Linked DNA regions of Drosophila melanogaster. The protein of the gene in region 3 interacts with the protein of the main gene of each other region in a pairwise test. Each region holds a gene or a part of one and is shown on either strand. Other genes may lie near its edges. The genes, in order: sr, bi, dve and CG9705.

The links.
Region 1: the proteins of dve (region 3) and sr interact in a two-hybrid assay, tested with the Drosophila melanogaster proteins (one large-scale study listed by BioGRID).
Region 2: the proteins of dve (region 3) and bi interact in a two-hybrid assay, tested with the Drosophila melanogaster proteins (one large-scale study listed by BioGRID).
Region 4: the proteins of dve (region 3) and CG9705 interact in a two-hybrid assay, tested with the Drosophila melanogaster proteins (one large-scale study listed by BioGRID).

Annotation. Positions count from the first base shown.
Region 1 is NT_033777.3:18,088,743-18,093,995, reverse strand, and holds the start of sr (stripe), read right to left. Parts: upstream 3,194-5,253; 5' UTR 2,542-3,193; intron 1-2,541.
Region 2 is NC_004354.4:4,410,616-4,415,860, reverse strand, and holds the start of bi (bifid), read right to left. Parts: upstream 3,006-5,245; 5' UTR 2,941-3,005; intron 2,400-2,940; exon of another isoform or gene 1,962-2,399; intron 1-1,961. UniProt on the Drosophila melanogaster protein: Essential protein that may function as a transcription regulator. Vital for pupal development. Required for proper development of the optic lobes and wings, and abdominal pigmentation.
Region 3 is NT_033778.4:22,242,167-22,247,049, reverse strand, and holds the start of dve (defective proventriculus), read right to left. Parts: upstream 3,088-4,883; 5' UTR 2,369-3,087; coding exon 2,303-2,368; intron 1-2,302.
Region 4 is NT_037436.4:16,778,455-16,783,161, reverse strand, and holds CG9705 (uncharacterized protein), read right to left. Parts: upstream 3,063-4,707; 5' UTR 2,742-3,062; exon of another isoform or gene 2,658-2,741; 5' UTR 2,506-2,657; coding exon 2,372-2,505; intron 1,700-2,371; coding exon 1,577-1,699; intron 1,499-1,576; coding exon 1,324-1,498; 3' UTR 743-1,323; downstream 1-742. Other genes in the region: mus302 (mutagen-sensitive 302), read left to right, coding at 3,681-4,707.

The DNA.
Region 1 (5,253 bases), on a different chromosome or scaffold from region 3:
ACAAAACGGCAATTAGAGTTGCACAGTGGAAGCTAAAGCTTCGTCCCTGCGATGACATTTAAAGGTTAGAGGTTGCGAGCATCAATCAAAAGGCAGCTACACAAGTGGAATGGAAGTCCCATCCTGTGCTGTTCTGCTCCATTACTCTAGCGCTGAAACAAATGAGCAATAATAAAAATAATAATATTAATAATAATAATAACGAGGGGACAGCGCTTCCTGGAAGGTGGAAAAACCGAAGGGACATTTTCGTTGGCTGGGAAAACGAGAACAATAAGGTTATCCAAGCTGGACCTGTTGATTGCCTGCCTTCATTTCGCCAAATGTGCTCCACTTCTACTTCACTTTTCCTAGTGGAAATAATTTCCAGCGTGGGCGTGTAAGAAAATGCTCGACTGGGATGCTAATAGATGCGATTAAACGCCCACACTGTCAGATATTATTGACTAGAAGATGAGGATGAAGTTAAGGGCAGGGGCACAGCTAAATGGCAGATACGGCACAGTGGGCTAATACTGCCCATGAATACTGTTAGAATAAATGTATTCGGGAAAAAAGAAAATCTCTAAATGTTAATGTGTAAGGCAAAGTTGTGAATACTTTCTATTATTCAAAATATTATAATGTGAGAAATTAATCAATTGCTTTATATTAATCATACGCAGTGTGGTCATAAATATTTACTAAATTGAAAAGTTAAAACAATTACACTATAAACCCTATTTATTATATTATATACACTATATTACACGATTTGAAATAGTTAATAGCTGATAGGTACCCAAAGCTTTTGTACACATTTGAAGACTGATTTGAACCACTGTGCAGAAGGAAGCCAGAAGCTACTAGCATTTTCCACTCGAGAAGAGTCTCGGGAGAATGGATACAGGATGCTGGTGCCTTGCCCTTTTCCCGAAACGTCTGCCACGTGTGTGGGATGTCCTGCGGCTGGAGGCTCCTGTTGCTCTTTGGCCAACCCACCGCCCGCCAATCGATGGCAGACCAAAGGTTGCCGGTCACATTCGGATAAATATATGAATGGAATGGAAAGCGAAAAACTGAATTGAGCTTATCAATGAAAAAAGCTCCCGTTGATGTGTCCGCTCAACTAGAAGTTCATTCATAAATTTTCCTGATTTTCCGCTAAGCGAATAGAGCAGCTGAACCCAAAGAAGCTCGCCCTGTTATCCGGTTGAACTTTGATATTTCGGTATTCACAGGAGAAGGTCCTGCCTTCCGTTTCTCTGCCCCTTTGTGGGGGAGTCGCTTCAAATGTCAGCTGCTCCTGACTCCATTTAAACCGCATTATTTGGCCGGAAGCTTTGGCTGGATTCGTTACACCTGCGTGTTTAATTAGCCAGGCAATTTCAACTTGTTGCAGAAAATTTGCGGCTACCAATTGCCGGTTGACCTTATACATATGAGCAGCATTCCCCGCGCTGTGCCCCTCGCACATTCGCACACGGAACACGTGTACGTGACTTTTAACCTTTTCATGTGGCAGCGCTAATTGATTTGTTTTACGCACGTGTCGCTCTGCAGGAGTGCAAATACATATGTATCGCGTGGGCTACGCATACTAACGTCCTTCATATTTTAGGCCATAACCAGCAATTCGTCATTCAGTCAAATAGCTTGTGTTTGAGCCAAAAAGAAGTTGTTGCAAGGCTGTTCTTTGAGTTTTCCATTAAAAAAGATAAACAAGAGGCCAACAAAAGTATACTTAAAACAACCAATATGTTGTAAAAGTTTCATAAATCATTATATTAAGCCTTATCTTTGTATATTTTTATTAGTTTTAATTTTAGTTATTATTTCCATTCATATTGAATGGAGGTAAACCACGAAATTCAATTGACTTCTCGAACATTCGACGGCTTCATAAAAAAACCAGGTTTCTTTCGAAATGCAAATGGAGTCTATCTGCAAATGGTATTTGGCAAAAACAGCTCCTAAATATTAAGGAATGTGTAAATAATTTTATGCAAAATGATCTCATTCGATTCGGTTTGTACAGAAATTTCGAAGATGTGTAATCTTTTCCATCTCATTCATCATTAAAAATGTAAGGTTTTTCAATGAGACTACAAATATTGAATGAATTTTTATATTTAATAATTAAATAGAAAACAAATCTGGTTTAGCTAATGGCTAAAAACCTTTATGGTTTTGTGAAATAGGAATTTATGAAAATCACAAAATATTTTATGTTAATTACCTTTATTGAATTATTTTAAGAAATCATCCAATAAAATAATTTGGATTTACGAATATATGTTTTCGGGCAATATTCGTACAATTTATTAATAAATTAAAACTAATGTAACATGACCGTAATAAATTCGGCCCCGCTTCAATTTTCCCCATCATATATATGTAATAAAGCCTTATATTTGGCTTTCGCCCCAATTAAAGGCCATTAGAGGCCATAACCAAACCGACAATCACCCCTTTCCCGCTGTAACCATTAATATACTTGTTCAGATGTCGATGGTGGATGGCTGGGCAATATAGGCAGGGTCTACTACTACTACTACTTACCAGCTATAAAAAGGCAATCAGATGTCGTCGATTCGGAGGCAAGTCGGCGACAACAGAGCACGCAAGCGCCCAGAAAGCTGGTCTGGCTAGGGCATCAAGATTTGGGCGCGTAAATAGGCAGGATCGTTGGGATTTTCATCTGTAGTCCAACAGTCGCGCGGATTGCGGATCGCGCGACTGCGTTTGTAATTAATTACGAGGCGGGCCAAAAAGGCGAACGCACGCGCGACTCACTATAAACCGCAACCGCGATTGCAACTGCAACAACTACTGCCAACTGCGACTCTGAAACTTCAGATGGCCAAGCATAAGATAAGATGCGCAGCTGTATAGAACGTGGCCAAGTCAAAGGAAGCGACGTAGCTACTGCGATTACGCGAAAGATATCCACCGGCTGTAATCGCGATCTCGTTGGCTAGCGAAGAGTTGGCAACTAGTTCCCGGCTTCTTCGGTGCAGATTATGCAATTTTGATTTGAAACACGCAATTTGATGGGCTAGTCGAGATATTGGGCTACGGGCTATCTTTCGGCTTAATTCGCTTAACGATCTCATGCACAGGGCGCGTAAATCGGGGCTATAAGATCCCCTGCTCTTTTTTTTATTCTCGAATTTATTGTGCTCAACTTATTAGACGATAATTTCCTTCCGGTTGCGATGCGTTTTTTTTTTGCGATTCAATCCGTCGTCCGACTGTCGGCGGTATTAAAAAATACGGTTTGCTTCGCTTTGCAGCGCTGCCTTGACTGTTTTGCCTCGGTTTCACTGTATCTGTACCTGTACGTGGCTTTGTATCTGTATCCGTTTGCGATGGCAGTGTGTGAGTGTGTGGCAGTCGTGGGCTGATCATCGCCTTACTTAGAGATCTGTCGCCCAGTTGAGATGCCTCGTCTGAGTGTTGTTGTTGTTGTTCTTGCTGCCGTGTGTGGGCACAACTGTACATGCGGACGGGCTAAGCTAGCCGTCCTCGTCGCACTCATGACCGGGGGATTGCCGGTGGGGCAACGAACAACGAACAACAAACAACAAACACCACAAACCACACACACAACCCCCGCAACGCCTCAAAGTGCTTTTCTCTCTCGCTGAGCTTCTATCGCCTAGCATAAGGCTGTAACACCTTTGGATTACTCTTAAGCCGTTTTCCTACACTGAAAAGAAGTGTGAGTGTCAAAAATGTCCTGCGTGCCTTCATCTTAGTTAAACTAAATAATTGGTATTTCTAAATCCTCTTCAGCTGTTAGTAAACCAATATATGTAATATTTTCATTGACATTAGAAGAAGTGTTTTGTAAATAGGAATTATTTATTTATCAATAATCTTCATTTAAGTCATCTTAAATTGTTTTCAGTGCACCGGAACGTGCCAAGTTCTACGAGTGGTTGTGTGGGCTTTCCTCGGTCTAAAAGCCCACACATTTAGCCAACACTCTTGATCGCAACCCTCTTAGTAGAATCAAAACCCCCTCCACGTGTGCAAAACCCTTTCATAGGGATACTTGTAGAATCTGCGTCATTCAATGCACTTGTGCAAACAGACATACATATGTACATACATATTTTAGCCAGGATTTTTACGGATGCAGTAAACTTTAAGGGTTTTCCTGGAATCGAAATCCAAATTCGTCTATCAATCCTGAAAGCTTTTGCTGGAAAGCTAGTCAGCTAAAAATAACACCAACGAAAGCTAATTGGCTGAAAAAAGCTTGGGCCCCCTTAGAAAAAAGCTTTAGAGGCAACAGCACCCACAGAAACGCACACCCACACACAAAAAAAACGCCAAACACACATACACACACACACACATGTGTATATACAAAGGGGTCACGTGGGTGGTTTCATTGATAAATTCATACTTTTACCTCTCGCTCTTTCAGCTGACTGCAAATTGAATTGCAAAATACTGCAGCTGTGCTCGCAGAAAGAGACAGAGCGATAGAAAGGGTGCAGGTGGAGAAAGGAAGCGGAAAGAGATGGAGCTACTGGAAGAGAAAGAGACAAGGACAGAGCCCCTCTGTGCACTGCTCCACTTTAAATAATGTGGGTGTGGATCAAGCCCGGCATTAGATTGTGAATGAAAACTCGAAAAGAGACAGCGAAACGCGGCTAGAAAGAGACGGAGAGCCGAGTTAAAAACGCCCACCAAGCTCACCTTACACAGACACACACACACACACACTCGCACTTTGGCTTCTAATCATATTCATATTTTACCCCCCCCCCCCCCTTCACAACTGAAAACTCGAATTCATTCATTCACAAAATGCTTATATATGGAAACTTGTCAATTAGTTCAAGTGTCTTACACTGAGCGAAACCCAAGTCCCAAGTCAAATTAATTATACTTAGCCGAATCGCCCACATCGGACATTTGACATTTGTACTCTTATTAACTGTAATTGCTCATTCAGAATGTGACACATGCAATAGTAATAACAAAGGCCAGCACAATTAGCTCGCCACCTTATAAGGCTTATACTTTGTTAGGAAAATAAATTTGAGAAATGGCACTAGAGACAATAGTATGGCCCAAAAACCCAATATTAAGATACAAAATCTAAGATACAAGATACACCACGTTGTATTCCGACAAACTACAACTATGAATAATCTATGAATAATAATACGTGAAGTGCTCGTACGTTTTGAACTGCATTCTGTTTGAAAATGATGAAATATTAGTAATTAAAATCCAGCTAACAACTTTCCATCA
Region 2 (5,245 bases), on a different chromosome or scaffold from region 3:
CTTCTTCCTCCCCTGCCAAGTCAGCTGGCGTGTTAGTCAGTCAATAGATAGAGCCAGGATAGCAGGATACAAAGGATCTGTCCATCGGATGTACAAACGTACACGCATCCATATACGAGTATGTACACACACATATAATATAGATGTGGTGCGTATTTATCGGTTAAGTGTGCAGTGTGTTTGTTGCCTTCAACCCCAAAAAAAAAAAAAAAACAAGGATAAGTGCCGCATCCAGGCCATTCCCAATTCCCGAAATCCAAAAAATACAATCCCCTCTTCCGTTTTCTTCCGCCGGTTGTAGCAACAACAATGGAGCTGGCATTTTATAGTAGCAGAGTACACAGTACATACCCCACCGAATACGGAATACGGAATACTGAATCGTGATTCCCGAATCATAGCCATATCCATGTCATAAGTCCGTTAGCAGCTTACCAACGAACAACCCCGACTGGAAACCTCACCAATTAATTGGTGAAGTCAGCAAAAGATATAGGTATTATGTGTTGTGGTATTTTGGAACTATTTTAGGTATATATAACACTTAATTCCGTAATTCGATCAAGACAATATATATTTCCAACTGTGTAATAATGTAATCCCTACTAAATGAGGATCAAAAAGAAAATGCATGTTCCCTCGGAAACAAGAAGAAAACATTCTCTAATATGTAATACAAATGGTTAAGGGTTGTTACCTACTTTCGAAAAGGGTTGAGTACTACGTTTCTAAACAGTCATAAAAGTCACTAATCGCTAATAAGCAGTGCAATAAACTACTCGAAAGAGAAAATTATTTTGGTGCTGGGGAAAATCCTTTCCTACAAAACATTGCTCTGTAAACGCGAATGATAATAGCCAGTGGCTTGGAATATTAGATTTATAAATATCCTTGATTTTCAGGCTTAGTATTTCGAAATTAGAACAAGTAGTCAAAATGTTTGCACGTTTTAAATCCTTTTCCGTATAACAATAGATAAATAGAAAAATGTCTAATTATTTTTGTACATCTTCAAGTGAAAGAACTTTGTGTGAGACCAGATTGATCGAGTGCTTGGCCAAGTATTCATTCTTGTGTTCATGGCTCAGTTCGTTTGGCACAACAGAGCGAAGCGACAAATCCAGTTCTGAATACAAGTTTGTATCGGTGGTCCTAGGCGGCTACGATCTCCTCCGCGAATCCCCTTGATCCCCTCCCTATTGAATAAGGCCCCATACAAAAAACCGGACTGTGCCGCAGACGCCGACTTGAGATATTATGTTTTCCGCAGCTGTCAAATTTGATTTGACAAATGTAAATAATACGGACAGACAAAGAGATTGTTGACATAATGGAAGGCGAGCTGATTTACACTTTTAGCTGCGTGTCGAGATGCGATCGTGATCTCGTCTCCGGAACCCCGCTCCCCAACTCTCCCCCCCCCCCTTATCCATCGCCATACATTGCATATATATAGTTTTTTTTTTTTTTTCTTTTTTGTTTTGTCATGCCTGAACAACTTGCAAATCTAGCGACTGTTTGACTGACTGCCTCCGGCTAATGGCTACAAATTGTCACATCAGTTAAGTAGCGAAAAAAGTATGAGAAAACAATTGACGAGGCGATAAACTGATGATACGGGTTCGGAAAGAGTTAGCTAATTGGATAATGGTTCCGATTTCGTTGCGCTTGAGCAGATCGGGATGGGGAATCTCCTGGGGGTTGGATCAATCAATCTAGACAATCTCCCTGGTGTTATGCGATGTGATTATCATAATGGGAAGGAGTTCCACCACGCTTTGTTTAAGGACTTTCCTATTAACTCATTGGATCACCAAAATATTGAAAGTAATTATCAGTAGTTCTACATTTAATGTTTGTAAATTTCTCATTTCTCAAGTAGGGAAAAACCAAGGAGTAGATTTTTTTGATAGTATACTATTTATTTCCAAGGGCAGCATAAACATAATATATTTGTATACCATTATGTTTTCATGATCTGAAACGGTATTTTGAAAATCTCAGGCGGAAACCAGTGTGTTTTTTATTTATATTCTTTGGACCTCCCACCTTGCTGTTGTTTGATTTTTATATATGTTTTTTTTTTTAAGTTTAAATACTCCACACTTTACGCACTTTTCAAACACAATTTTCTTTAATCTTGTCAGGTTTTCAAAAAATTCTGGACTGCACAAAAAAACAAAACAAAACAGAATCTGCAGGGTGATGTTGTTTCTTGATTCCTTATCGTCGACGGCCACGAAACGGTTAACGGTTAGCGGTTAAACGGTGAGCCGTATCGGTTAAGGTCAGTGTATTTATTTTGCCTTCGGATTGAAGCAAAAAAGGGGAATCACACGTAAACACGGCGAGACATTTGGTTTATCTGACGACGCGACGGCAAAAGCGTTTGACGTGAGCGTGTGACAGGCGGCGACTGCTGGCCGAGAACGATCCAAAAAGCCGAAAAGCCCGAAAAACGAAAAAAAAAAAAAAAACAACAAATAACCGGGCCAAGACGACGCCGAGCGCCAAAGTGCAAGAAGCCGGCAGCGACGTTCGCAGCGACGCCGGCAGAATGCGAAAGTGGGGAATCCCCATCGCGTGGGGGGAGGTGGGTTGGCCCGTGTTATGTTCACCACACGCGGGCAAAAAAGCTAAGGCCAGCTTAGCATAGGTTTTCCCCCTCGCCGTGCTGTCGAATGACAAGCATTTTGACACCCAAGTCGTGGGTAGTCTTGTAGTTGCTATTTTGTGGGTTACATATTTTCTTTTTAAAGCCCTTCTGTGTAATCCCTACACTCTATGCTCTCAGCTTTACTTGGCGAGGCCATTCTTTCTTTGCTTTCCTTCTTCTTGTCTTTATACGTAGCCTACCCTCCTGGTCTAACCCTATATAAGTATAAACGTATTCTTTCTTTCTTTGAGTGAAATCCCTCTGTGCGTTTTAAACCCACGTACACCCCTGGATTTTCCGCTGTGATCTCCGCTCTTCGTTTCATATGAAGTGTCGACGTTTACTAACAGAATTCCAATTTTGAATGACGCTATTCGCCACTCTGCTCGACGCTTTGCTTCACAAAACCCACCACGGCAGCACAGTCGACGTCGGCAGAGGCAGAGGCACGAATTCGCCTCGTTTCGCTTCGTTTTGAGTGAGCACTTCTTTGCATGTGTGTGTGTGTGTGTGTGAGTAATTGAGCACTTACTCAGAACCGGTTTATGCTAGGTTTTTTTTGTATCCTATTTGGTCCGAGCCAGGATAACAACACGCCGGATAACTCACGCACATTCGAATCGCATCCTTTGACTTCTTGGGAAAAAAGGACAACGGCTTAACCGTTAAATGTGTGTGTGTATGGTGTCCATTTTTTTTGGGGGGGGATACTACGAAAAACTGGAGCACAGATTAAGTCGCTGCCAAGCGAAAATAAACAAATTTGCAGAAATACGTGGAACCAATTTCGGGTAAAAGGAGCCAAATAAAAAACAAACTAGGATGTTGGCATTGTTATGACCTTAAGTATATGAAATCTGGAAACAGCTTTAAGATATTAAAACAGCTAAGAATCCTTTTAAGACGTAAATATGATTGTAGCTATTAGTTAAGTAATATATATACCATATATATATGTATATATTTGGGTTGGAAATACTTGGTAATCAAATGAAAGTAAAAACAAAAAGCTCAGCTTTAAAAAAAACACTAAATATTAATTCTAAGTTACAGAAAAAATATACAAAACCAGAGATAGTTGGGACTGTATTCAGATTGAGCTAACAGCTTATAAGAAATTATTTAAAAGGATTTTCGTAGGAATAATTGTTGAATTTTTTATATCTTGAACTGAGAATTTAGAATTTTAAGCAACTTTTTTTTTATATATTAACGAATTTATAAATTATAAAGCTTAAAAAAGGAAGAAGCTCAACAAGAAGCAAAAAGAAGGATGAAGATTGTGCGTGCGAAAGGGAGGACCGATGTCACGCAGAGCTAACGGTAGTCGGAATGCCATATGACACTTTCCTTCGCTTTTCGCCTTTTCTTGGGTTTTCATCCGCCGAAGCGCCAGAACGTAATGAATAAAATATGCAATAAGCGTAAAGCAGTAGAAATATGCAAATTCGTTTACAACGTCGCATCTTCTCTACTCTTGCTTTCAAAACCTCCATCCACAAACGCATTCCCTCTCGCTCACACTGCGGCACTTTCGCATGGGTGCGAAAAAGACGGCCATAAAGCAACGCCCCCTGCAAGGCGACCATTTTACACAGTTTCATGTGCGCAAGAACGAGAAGGCAAGTGCCAGAGGGAATGCGCATTCTCGGTGAGAAAGAGTGGGAGAGCGAGTGAATGTGTGTGTGTGTGTGTATGACTGAGTGAGTGAGTTGAGCGTTTTTTACCGGACTGTGGTGAGTTTTTTTCTCATCTCATCGCGATCGCTTAGTGGGCGGAGTCTCGGGCTTGTGTTCATGTGTGTGCGTGTAGAAGCGAGATAGCGTTACATGGCGAGAAGGAAAACACGCACACACACGTAGTCAGCGATTTTGTCACACAGGCAAAAATGTCCTTTTCCGTCTCCGTGCCTTCTCGTGTCCCTTATTTCTCAGTTTCCACTTCACCTATATGGCTTTATTCGGTTTTTTGGCGCGAAATTTTAGGCTCAAATTCGGAAAAGGGAGCTAAAATTTGGAGAAATAATAGAAGCACAGAACTTTGAAAAATAAAATTTCTTTAAAAAAAAAGAAAAATGTTGAAAAGATATTGCTGTGATTATGAAATTACAGCTCGCAATGTAGGAACTCAGATAAATATTGAATTCAAAACAAATAAATGATTAATACGTCAGTTATTTCTTTGGATAATTTGTGCTTCAAATATTGAATTTTTGATAATTCCAGATCACTAATCTTAAAAATTTTAAATTTAAAATAATTATAAAATAAATGTGTAGCAATTAAAAAACGAGGGTACATTTCGTTTCTCTGCCAAACCATTTCCGAATGCCCAGAACATCAAAAATAACATGTAAGAAGTTCCTGAATGCATCTGCCATGGCCGATGAGAATCAACTGTAAAATATGGCGCAATGTGCAATTGTTGATAATGGGGCATGTGGCGCGCATATCCTACCGATTCGCTATTCCGTATAGCCCGACTTTTTTACGCAGCTCTGGCGCCTGCGCCTCGCCTGCTAATTAGTCGAAGCTCCCGATCCCGAGGGATATACGAAAAGGGTGGCGTTTGGGGGGTCAGGAATACACT
Region 3 (4,883 bases):
AGTAGTAGTGGTGGTGGACCCAAGTCCAAGGAAGAAAAGAAAGCCAGAAGTCAGGAGGCGGCGGCCACAACAACAACAACAGGGCCACAAAGATGACAAACAGTTTGGACATTTATGAGCGGCATTTAATGGACATTTGACTACCGGAATTTAACGAAACCGAAAACGTGGGAAGGCAGACGGGGAAGCCGACAGAGGGGCAGACGGGCAGGGCCAGAAGAAAGGGCGAAGAATGCATTTGATTGGAGCTGCGATTCGATGCGCGGCCGGATTAACCCCGATTACCATTAGTCTTGGTGCGAGAGATCGCTGGGGAAAACGAGGCAGAGGTAATGAAACGACTATTCGATGATCACGAGCACGGTGAGCAGGAAGCAGCGGCGAAGAAGATTTCAATTAATAAATATTCCATTATCTGACTCCTAAGGCTGTCCCCGCCCATCCCCCATTCACAAACGACTAACACTTTCAGATTAGACAAAATCGAACCATTTATAATTTATAAGACGGCCTATCTGGCTGCTCAAAAGGCGGCCAGGTGATCTAACCGGGTGTGAAGAGACGGCATTATCTGTTGGCCGCGTTCGATTTCGATATTACGCCCTTAGAAAAACCCCGAAATGAAATTATCACAACAATAAAGCTAAATGCTTTATAATTAGTTTGGCCGGGCCAACAAAAAATTCGACTCACACTCGCACAATATGATTTGCCATAGTTTTGAAAGAATTCACATTTATTTATGCCCCTTCTGACCATTCTGGTTTATTATCTGACTCTCGAGCAACTTACGCCGTCTTATCTTAATCCCATTCACTAAGCATATGCGTCGACACATAAAACTGTCAAAAAATAAAAAAGAAAACGAATGGTTCTAAAGCCGAAGTTTCGAATGCTCTAGCCTAGATCGATTCTGATCTAATCGATATAAAATTTTTCAAAACTATTGCATCATCACATTCGTCGTAGCAAACTTAGAGGAAGTTACATTTATCGGAAACATGCAAAGATTTTGCAATTACCATTGCCACGTGGACGTACATAGAACAAAAAACAATCCCTGTGGACCTATTTAAATTGCTGGAAGCACTGCTAGGTTCTACAAATATGGTAATCTCAATCGATCTCTTAAAAAAATGTAAGTATTCCCAATGGCTAGGGTATACGAAATAACTCTAAGCTGTTTGTTTTCGAAGCCATCACAGATTTGGCCAGTACAATAACTCTTGTGGCATGATTTCGGCTTAAAGACAATGACGGTGGGTCCCTCGCGAGATTGGGATTTTTTAAATATACAACATAGAGATGTTTTCGAAACCGATTGGAAATAAAATTCATAAATTCTTGGATTAGTCACCCCCCGTTTTCGGCGTTTGGGTAACCGATTCCAATGGGTTGAGCGCCAAAGGCAGAAGTCATACCGCAGAGCCAGATAAATAATAATTACACTCACACAACATAATCAATTATGTCTGCTAATAAACCACACACACACATGCAGGCACACACCCAGATATCTGGACATGTGTATGAGTGATCCCCCACTTTTTCCAGAGAGGGAGTTGGGCTGGACTAATCACGCCAGCATGTTCATAATCAATTTTATCGCACTTATTTGGATTAATTGCGATATCAGTGACAGGGGCGTTCGATTCTGATAAAAATAAGAGCGGCGCGCACAGAGATGACGCGACATGCACTCTATGAGCTGGGGGCGCTAACGCTCCCCACCGCCAGTATCCCCACCCCGTTAGCCACATTCGATATCTAAGTTCGTCATCGCCTTATGCCGAATTTACCAGCGTTTGACAAAATTACCGTCGGGATTATCTTATCTGGCTGGCAAAAGCTCTGGCGGAGAACCCAGAACTCGGAACTTAGCCCCAGTTCCCAGTTTTCCCCTTTGGGGATCGGCTTTACAATGCAATTAGTGGGCACACCGAACGGGGAAAGGTAAACAGTTGGGTGCGGGGTGCTGGCGGACTTATCGCAGCACCGATCTCGAAAATCTCAGCCGATAAGGATTATCTTAATCTGCATAAATAGCGAAACGAGCGCATATCTACACGGCCCTTATCACTACAGCTTGGCCATATGTCGTTTGGCCGATTTTGTTTGCACTCAACTGATTCATTTGGCAATGGGAGGGCTGTAAAAGTGGGGGATAGCCAGGGTATCTGACTAATGGCTGTGTGAAGTGCCGCCGGCAAAGCGATCTCGCCGTGCGATGATGAAATTTCTCCGTATGACGAAATCTTCGTGATGCGGATGATATCTCTGCAAATTTGAAGGCTCAACTCACCTGCTGACCGGCATTGGCTGCCACCCAGGCTTCGGCAAAGGTTTCCATGGCGCTCTGGAAGTCCATCTCGCTGGCGATTCAAAGTTCTAATCACTGAGTCTGCAGTTCACGTATTTTATTTATGGCCAGATGCAGGCGCTTTGGCATTAATTGCAATTTGGATGGTTCGCTGTGATTTTTGTTTGATTGCAATTTGTCACCGCGATAAGGGGAGCTCGATTTCGAATTCGATCGGGGGAAGGTGTATTTCTTGATTCGATTTGATTTGATTTAATTTGATGTGATTTTTCTATTTATTTCTTATTTGAGTAGCGCGGATACGCAAATTAGACACAGGCACACACACGCGCGCAACCGCACACACGCTCAGGTGAAACGCGCGTTTCCTTCGTGGAACGGATTCGATGACTCTAGTTCCAGATGCTGCACTTCCAATTGCTCCAGGGGCTCTTCTTGCTGTTGTTGTTGCTGTTGGGGGCGACGCGACATCATTAGTGCCATGAAATCGGGAGCTGATCGCGTCACTGCGTCACCAGGATTGGCAGCGTATCGAATTTGGCGAATGCGACAATCGCAAATCCAGCCAACCGTTGAGGTTGAGGCGTTCAGGCTGTCTGGCTGTCCGCCTGTCTGGTTTCTCCGGCAGATGGCGTGCCGAATCCTTGGGCTCCTGCTCCTGACTGACTGATCTGGCTCTCTGGACTCTCTTCGCAGGGTATCGCAGGGTGTTAGTAAGCGGACGCGCGTCAAGACATCCTCTCTTGGCCAAAGTTGTCGCACAACTGACGGCATTCCTTCGCCTTCGCACATTCGCCGGTGTGCCGGTGCTCGGTGTTTGGCATTCGGTCTCTTTCGGCCGACGGTCTTCGGTCTCGTTCTCGCCCTCCCCCAGCCAGCACCCACCCCCCTTTCAACCGTGGTCCTCTCACGCGGCTCCATTTGCCGCCAGTCCATGTGTACTGGTGTGTGAGTCAAAGAGACAACGACCGCGCTCTCCCACTTGTATTTGTATTTGTGTGAGTGGGGAGAGAGAACGTAACAAAAAGTAGTAGGCTCTGAAAAGGTAGTAAAACTATGAGTTAGCTGAGCTCTTATGAATGGGGCTCTAATTAAAAGGATTAGATTAAAATCAATATATTTATTATATTAAATATAACGAAAGGAAAAATATAAATGCTGTAAATTTTATATTTGTTATAAGAGTAACCCACTTTGCTTAGAATAAGAACAAGTGGCGCTTTTCTTAGTAAATTAAAAATAAAAAATGTTAAAAAGACCACCAAATTTTAGAAAGCTAAATTTACTTTATATGTCACGTTATTTTCTTCAAAATGTAAATTTCTTTAGAACTGATAAGAATTTTTGCTTACCAACACTTTCCCACAGTATCATCTTGTTAAAATATTGAAATGATGCCAAAGCGTAGTAGAAATACTGCGAAATTTCGTTCTGGTTAGCGAGGCAAACAAACAGCTCTGCGTGTGTGCGTCAGTGAGTGACCAAAACAAAGCACACGCACAGGGACAGAGAGAGAAAAGAGAGTAGCTATGCAGAGAGCGACTTTCTCTCACACACACACAGGAACAGTGGGTAAACCTGTTCCGGCGCACAATTGCACTTGTCGTCGCCGCAGCCTTCGCCCAACCCGCCTAAAACCCCCTCCCCCGACAAACACTTGCTCATTCGGCTGCGCGTTTTCTTTTATTTTTTGTGCGCTGTGGCGAAACTGAATGGATTTGCTGCAAATTCGGGTGGAATTATGCCGCACACACACAGCCACATATCCCTACACCGTGTAGAGTGGGCGTGGGCGTGAACTACGACGGTGCGGGTGCGAGCAGTGCGGCAATAGGTTCGGGCATTCGGGATGAAAGAGTAAATCGGCATTGCTTATTCCTCTCGATGGGCGGTGGGTGGTCGGGGGGCTACACCCACTCGGCATTTAGCACCTCCGTGAATGGCGACGGCCTTCGTTGAGGATTCGTGAGTTCACGGCACGAAGTGGATTTCGCCGAGGGGCGGGATGGGTGGTGCCCCCGGAAAATAAGAGATAAGAGCGCAGATAATGCGCGCGCATTACATGTGATTAGGTGTCCGGGCTGCAGGATTTAGCCAACCGCGTCCAAGTATATGGTAAATAGGATTTCTATGTAGCAGCACTAGTAGGAGAAACACTGCGCCGAGAAAAAGATGGAAATAGGGTGGAGTTACAGTGGGCTTGGTAATTAGTACAGGATTTCATATCCGTTTTCAGAAAACTCAACCGAAAAAAGACTGCCTCTTTTTCTCTTATAGTTTCTAAAAAACAACTATAATTATTTATACAAATTAAATAACTGCTATATACCAAAACATAAAAATACATAAAAATCCTTGATCTGGATATGTTTATCCCACGATATCCTCAGTTTTCATCCAGTTCCTGAATGCGCAAGCTCTCCCTTTCTCCCTCTTGGCGCTTGCTCTCTCGCTCGCTCTCTTGCTCGGCAGCTCTCTCACACAAACACACACAAGCGCTCTCTCTCTCCCTCTCTGTCACTCCAATGGACTCGTGCCAGAGCGAGATAACCCATCGAAAAAA
Region 4 (4,707 bases), on a different chromosome or scaffold from region 3:
GCCTTTAATTTGGTTAAATGTACGATCGAATGGCTTTCTGAATATCTGCCAGTTCGGTCTTTAATTAATTCATTTTCCGTTGAATCGGAATATTTTCTTTCGTGGCATATGTTTGTTGACGTTCCAATATATTTTTATAGCAACTCTCTGTCGCACTACGCATGCAGTTGCTATAAACCGCCGCATGGTCACACTAATCATTCGAAATTCAAACTGAGTGGCGGGAGACTTACGAAATGGAAATCCATAATTTTAGGAGTATGAGTTGGTTTGGCTATTTATGGCTCTACTTGATAAATTTAGCGGGCGGAAATCTTTAGGTATCTATTGTGGCAAAAAGGTTGGTTTTTTTTTATTGAATATGTTACGGTTTCGATTTTCTGCAGAACGCAGGAAATATATTTTCAATAGTGAGCCAAAAATTCATGTATGCTTTGGGCTGCAAAAAGTATCTGCTTTCACTGCAGATAAGATACACCACTAAATTAAATACAAGTTACAGCTGCGGCTAAAACAATATTTTGCCATGTTATGAATATCGTGATATTACAATCAGACATTAGCTAATATCTAAAATGAACATTTAGATGCCGTAATAAAAACGTAAGATTAATAATTTTGCATAAAATTTTATTAGAACACATACAAGCAAGCGGCTATTATGCTGACCGCAATTGTGCGTACAATACACACTCCATGCTGATAACTCCCACGCCACTCCAGAAAAATCACCGATGGAATTGTTTTGCAGCTGTTTTAATAATAAAGTGAATTACTGAGAGCATTTTGCTTGTTTGCTTCGCGAACACATTCAGATGTTTTGTTATAATTAAAAGTAATTACTGATACAGGGCACCACAGCATCGCAGGCGCTGTGCTAGTGGCTTCTCGAATAACAATTTCAATTTCCAAATACATACGCGCTTTTAATAATATACTCGAAACTGGTTGCGGTTGCTCTCCCCTCTTCCAGAGGGAAAGGCAATATTTGTGACTGCGTTTTGTTTGACTTCCATAGCTTAGCTTAAATTCTAATTAAGTGTTCAATTGAAACTCTTGTGATGCTGCTCGCTGGCTGGCTGGATGGCAGGCCTGTTGTTCCATTCTATTACGTTCTGGTCTGGTTTCGGCTTTTTCCTGGCTGCTTCGATTGCTGTGCTTTCGTTTACTTTCATGGTTATTGTTCTGTTCCGGTTTTCCGTTTCGTTCATCTCGGGTGGCGTGCTCTAGCTCAATTAAATTTCTTGGAAGGCCGTTCAGCTTTTAACAACACACTTTTCCGCTTCCGAGCTTCGAAATCTCCCAGGGCCACAAGCTTCAGCTTTACTTAGCGGGCGAGGAGCCACCATAGAATGGCTCCTCCCACTTGTGGTGCACCTCCGGCGTCAGGTGGCTAATCTGCACGTGCACGGCCTGGTGCTTCTCATACTTGGGCGGAATGGCGCACAGACGGTATTTGACCTCGTCCCCGGGCATGGGCACATATTCACCTTCGATGCTGTGGGAAGATTACATTTTTGTAGGTCTTACAGAGCCAGCGCAAAGGTCGCCGCGCATGCAATATTCATTCACTTACTCGGAAACGTGGCAAAAAACGTCCTCTCCGCCGGCGTTGGGTGTAATGAAGCCGTGTCCTTTGGTGCGGCTGAAGGATTTCACCATACCGGTCACAACCGGATTTTCCAAGGCCCGAGCGGAGCTATGTTTTTTCAGCGTTATTTTGAGTTTGCGCGTGTTTGCGTTTTGGCAGCGTTTGGGAAAAGAATTAAGCAGGAAGAGACAAGTTAATCAATGGAGGATGCGCATGGGGATATGAGGGGGAAGAATTTAAGTACGTGGATTATGTTCGAAAGGGTTCCGAGAGCTTATAAATTCGGCAGCGACTGATTTCTGAATGTATGTATGTATGTACAATGAAATAATTGAAAAAGTATGGGGTTTACAAATTTAAACTTTCAAAAAAAATGGTCCTTACGGTTATAAAAATATTTATAAGTATATACACATAAAAATAAATATATTAAATGTAAATGTGGAACCAATAAAGTGTTCCATGTTCGATTACTAATTACTGTTTGTTTCATTATGTTTGCTCATCTAATTCAACAAATGCAGTTTAAAACATTATAGAAAGCTTTTGCTTTAGAAATTACAAGCTTCCATGCTATTCTTTTACTATTTCAAAAGGTTGTATTTGGTTTTCATACAAAAGAGCGAACCTTGTGAAATAATGTGAACTTTCGGCGCCTATTTGGCCCCATAAAGGCTCTGCATAGGGGCCAAGTTCCCCTTGGGGTCAAGTGTGTGTGGGGCCAGTAGTGGGTGGGTGGTTTTGCTGGTTGGGTGGGCAGGGCAGTGCAGGAGGACTTACGTCGAGGCCGTGCGAGTGCGCCTCGTGATGATGGGACTGGGCAGCTGCAGCGAGGCATTGGGACTATGGCTGTTGTGGTGTAAAACCGGCGGCTTGGCGGCCAGCAGCTTCTCGGGCGTCCTTGGTTCGGTCATGGCTTTCTTACACTGCTCGTTTACTTGCCGATTTATGCGTTCTTCCCCTTTCTTCGCTCTTTTCCTCTCCTCTCTTCAGACAGTAGAAGCGGCTTGCGCGTGTGTATATATGTGCGTATGTGTGTTTGTGGGTGAGTGGACGGCAGCCAAGTCTGTCGAGTTCAAGGCCACGGGGGGCGGGTTAGTCAGTCAGCAAATTGCGTTGCACTTAATTCACGTGTACTCGGTCAGCTTACCGACAACTTCACGCCCTCTTTCCTAGCACCTTGATAATTGGCAATCCAAAAATCCTGGCTTAGCTTCTTTTTTTTTTGCGAAACACCCACACACTGATGCAAATTTTACCGCTGTGCGAAACGCCGGTTGCCAATGTTATTTGTACCCCCTAAATCAGTCCTGCGCGGTATGACTTTTATCAACTTTGGAATCTGGGATTTTTTTAAACTTTTTTATCAATTATTACACCGGCTTGATGCGCGCTTTTTAAGAATTTCAGTTTTTTAACGAATGGCGGCGGAGGCGTCAAAGTCAGACCTCAGAGTGAACGTTTTGGAATGTTCCAGAAATCCCAAAACCTATCGCTTAGCCTAATTGGCAATCGATGTTTATAGCAACATGAATAAAATTTGAAAATCAAATTTAACGAACAAACAGGATTAATTACAAGTTACTCCAACTTGTTGGTAGAATAAATAGATGTGAAAATTTAATTGAAAGCATTTATAATTATTTTAAACAATTAAAAAATTGCATTTTCCGCACAAACACTCAACTCTTATATAGATTCTTTTTTTATATGCTTGATATACGAAAAAAATGTGTTCAGACTAATATGTTGTCCACACTAACAATGAATATTTAAATATATTTATTTACATGTAGTACTCGATAGTTTCACCCCGTTGTTCCATCACTAAAGCATCTCGATCTTGACCATCCCTAGCTTGAAATTTAGCGTCCTATTGCAGGAAAGTCGCGAAATAGATAAAATAATAACAAGAACTTTCATGTTTTCCAAGAGGAAAACTTGATTGAGACCATATATAGGTGAAACGGACAGCGAAGGTTTCGCAAAAGGCGACAGCGCCGTGGATCCGGAAATATACTCATCGGGCAGCAGGGAATGCGATCAGTCTGAAGCGAGAAAGCGGAATTCAGACATCCTGCTGCAAGGAATGGAGAATGAAACCGAAGCTCTTGATCCGGAAGTTTATGCCGATGAGACCTCTACAGATGATAGCTCTGGTGATGATGAGGTAATCCTCAATCCAGTTGAAGGTCTGCAGCCGGCGGTTGAGATTGATGAACAACGTGACCAGCCTGGTGAGAACGCGGAACCCGAGCAACCGAGAGTTCCGCCTTTAATTCTGGTAGATCCTCCGCATTTGCCCAGTCCCCCGAGAAATTCCCGCCGCAATCAAGGCGAAGAGCAGGAGGTGATCTCATTAGAAACGCCATCACCGCCCAAGAAACGTAAACGTCTCTCCGCTGCTGCCGATAAAAGCCTTAAAAAGTCGCCCGAGGGCAAACCAATAGTTGTAGATGACGAGGACGATGGCATGACCTGTCCCATTTGTCTGGATTCCTGGGAGATGAGTGGCGAGCATCGACTGGTCTCGCTGCGATGTGGTCACCTCTTTGGGGAAAGCTGCATTCGGCGGTGGTTAAACGAAAGCCATCGCCAATCTTCTGTGAAGGTGTGCCCGCAGTGCAAGACGAAGGCCACATTTAGAGATATCCGTCATCTGTATGCGAAGCGCATTCAGATGCTGGACACGGATATTAGGGAGCAGCTGGAGGCGGAGCGGCGGCGTACACATACTCTAACAACAGAGCTGGCTACCGCGAAGCTGGCTAACACACTCACCACTGAGAAGCTGATTCTCCTGCAGAAGGACTACGAACGGCTTAAGGAGCTGGTGAGGGCAGGTGGTGGTCGGGGAGCCTTCGGAGGCGATGCATCCGGCCAGAAGAGCATTCAACAACTAGCCACCTACCGATTGTACATGGAGAAGAACTTCGAGATAACTCGAGATCCCGGCTGCCGTGTATTGCTCTATTCCGCCAAGCACTCCATGCTGGTGGCCTCGCAAAAGAGTGCCCAAAACCTGTTCCCCGGCTACGGCGTACGCTTTATTGATCCACCTACCTTCAAGCCCCTGCAATTCCTGCACACCTCGGCACTCCTAATCCGGGACATTG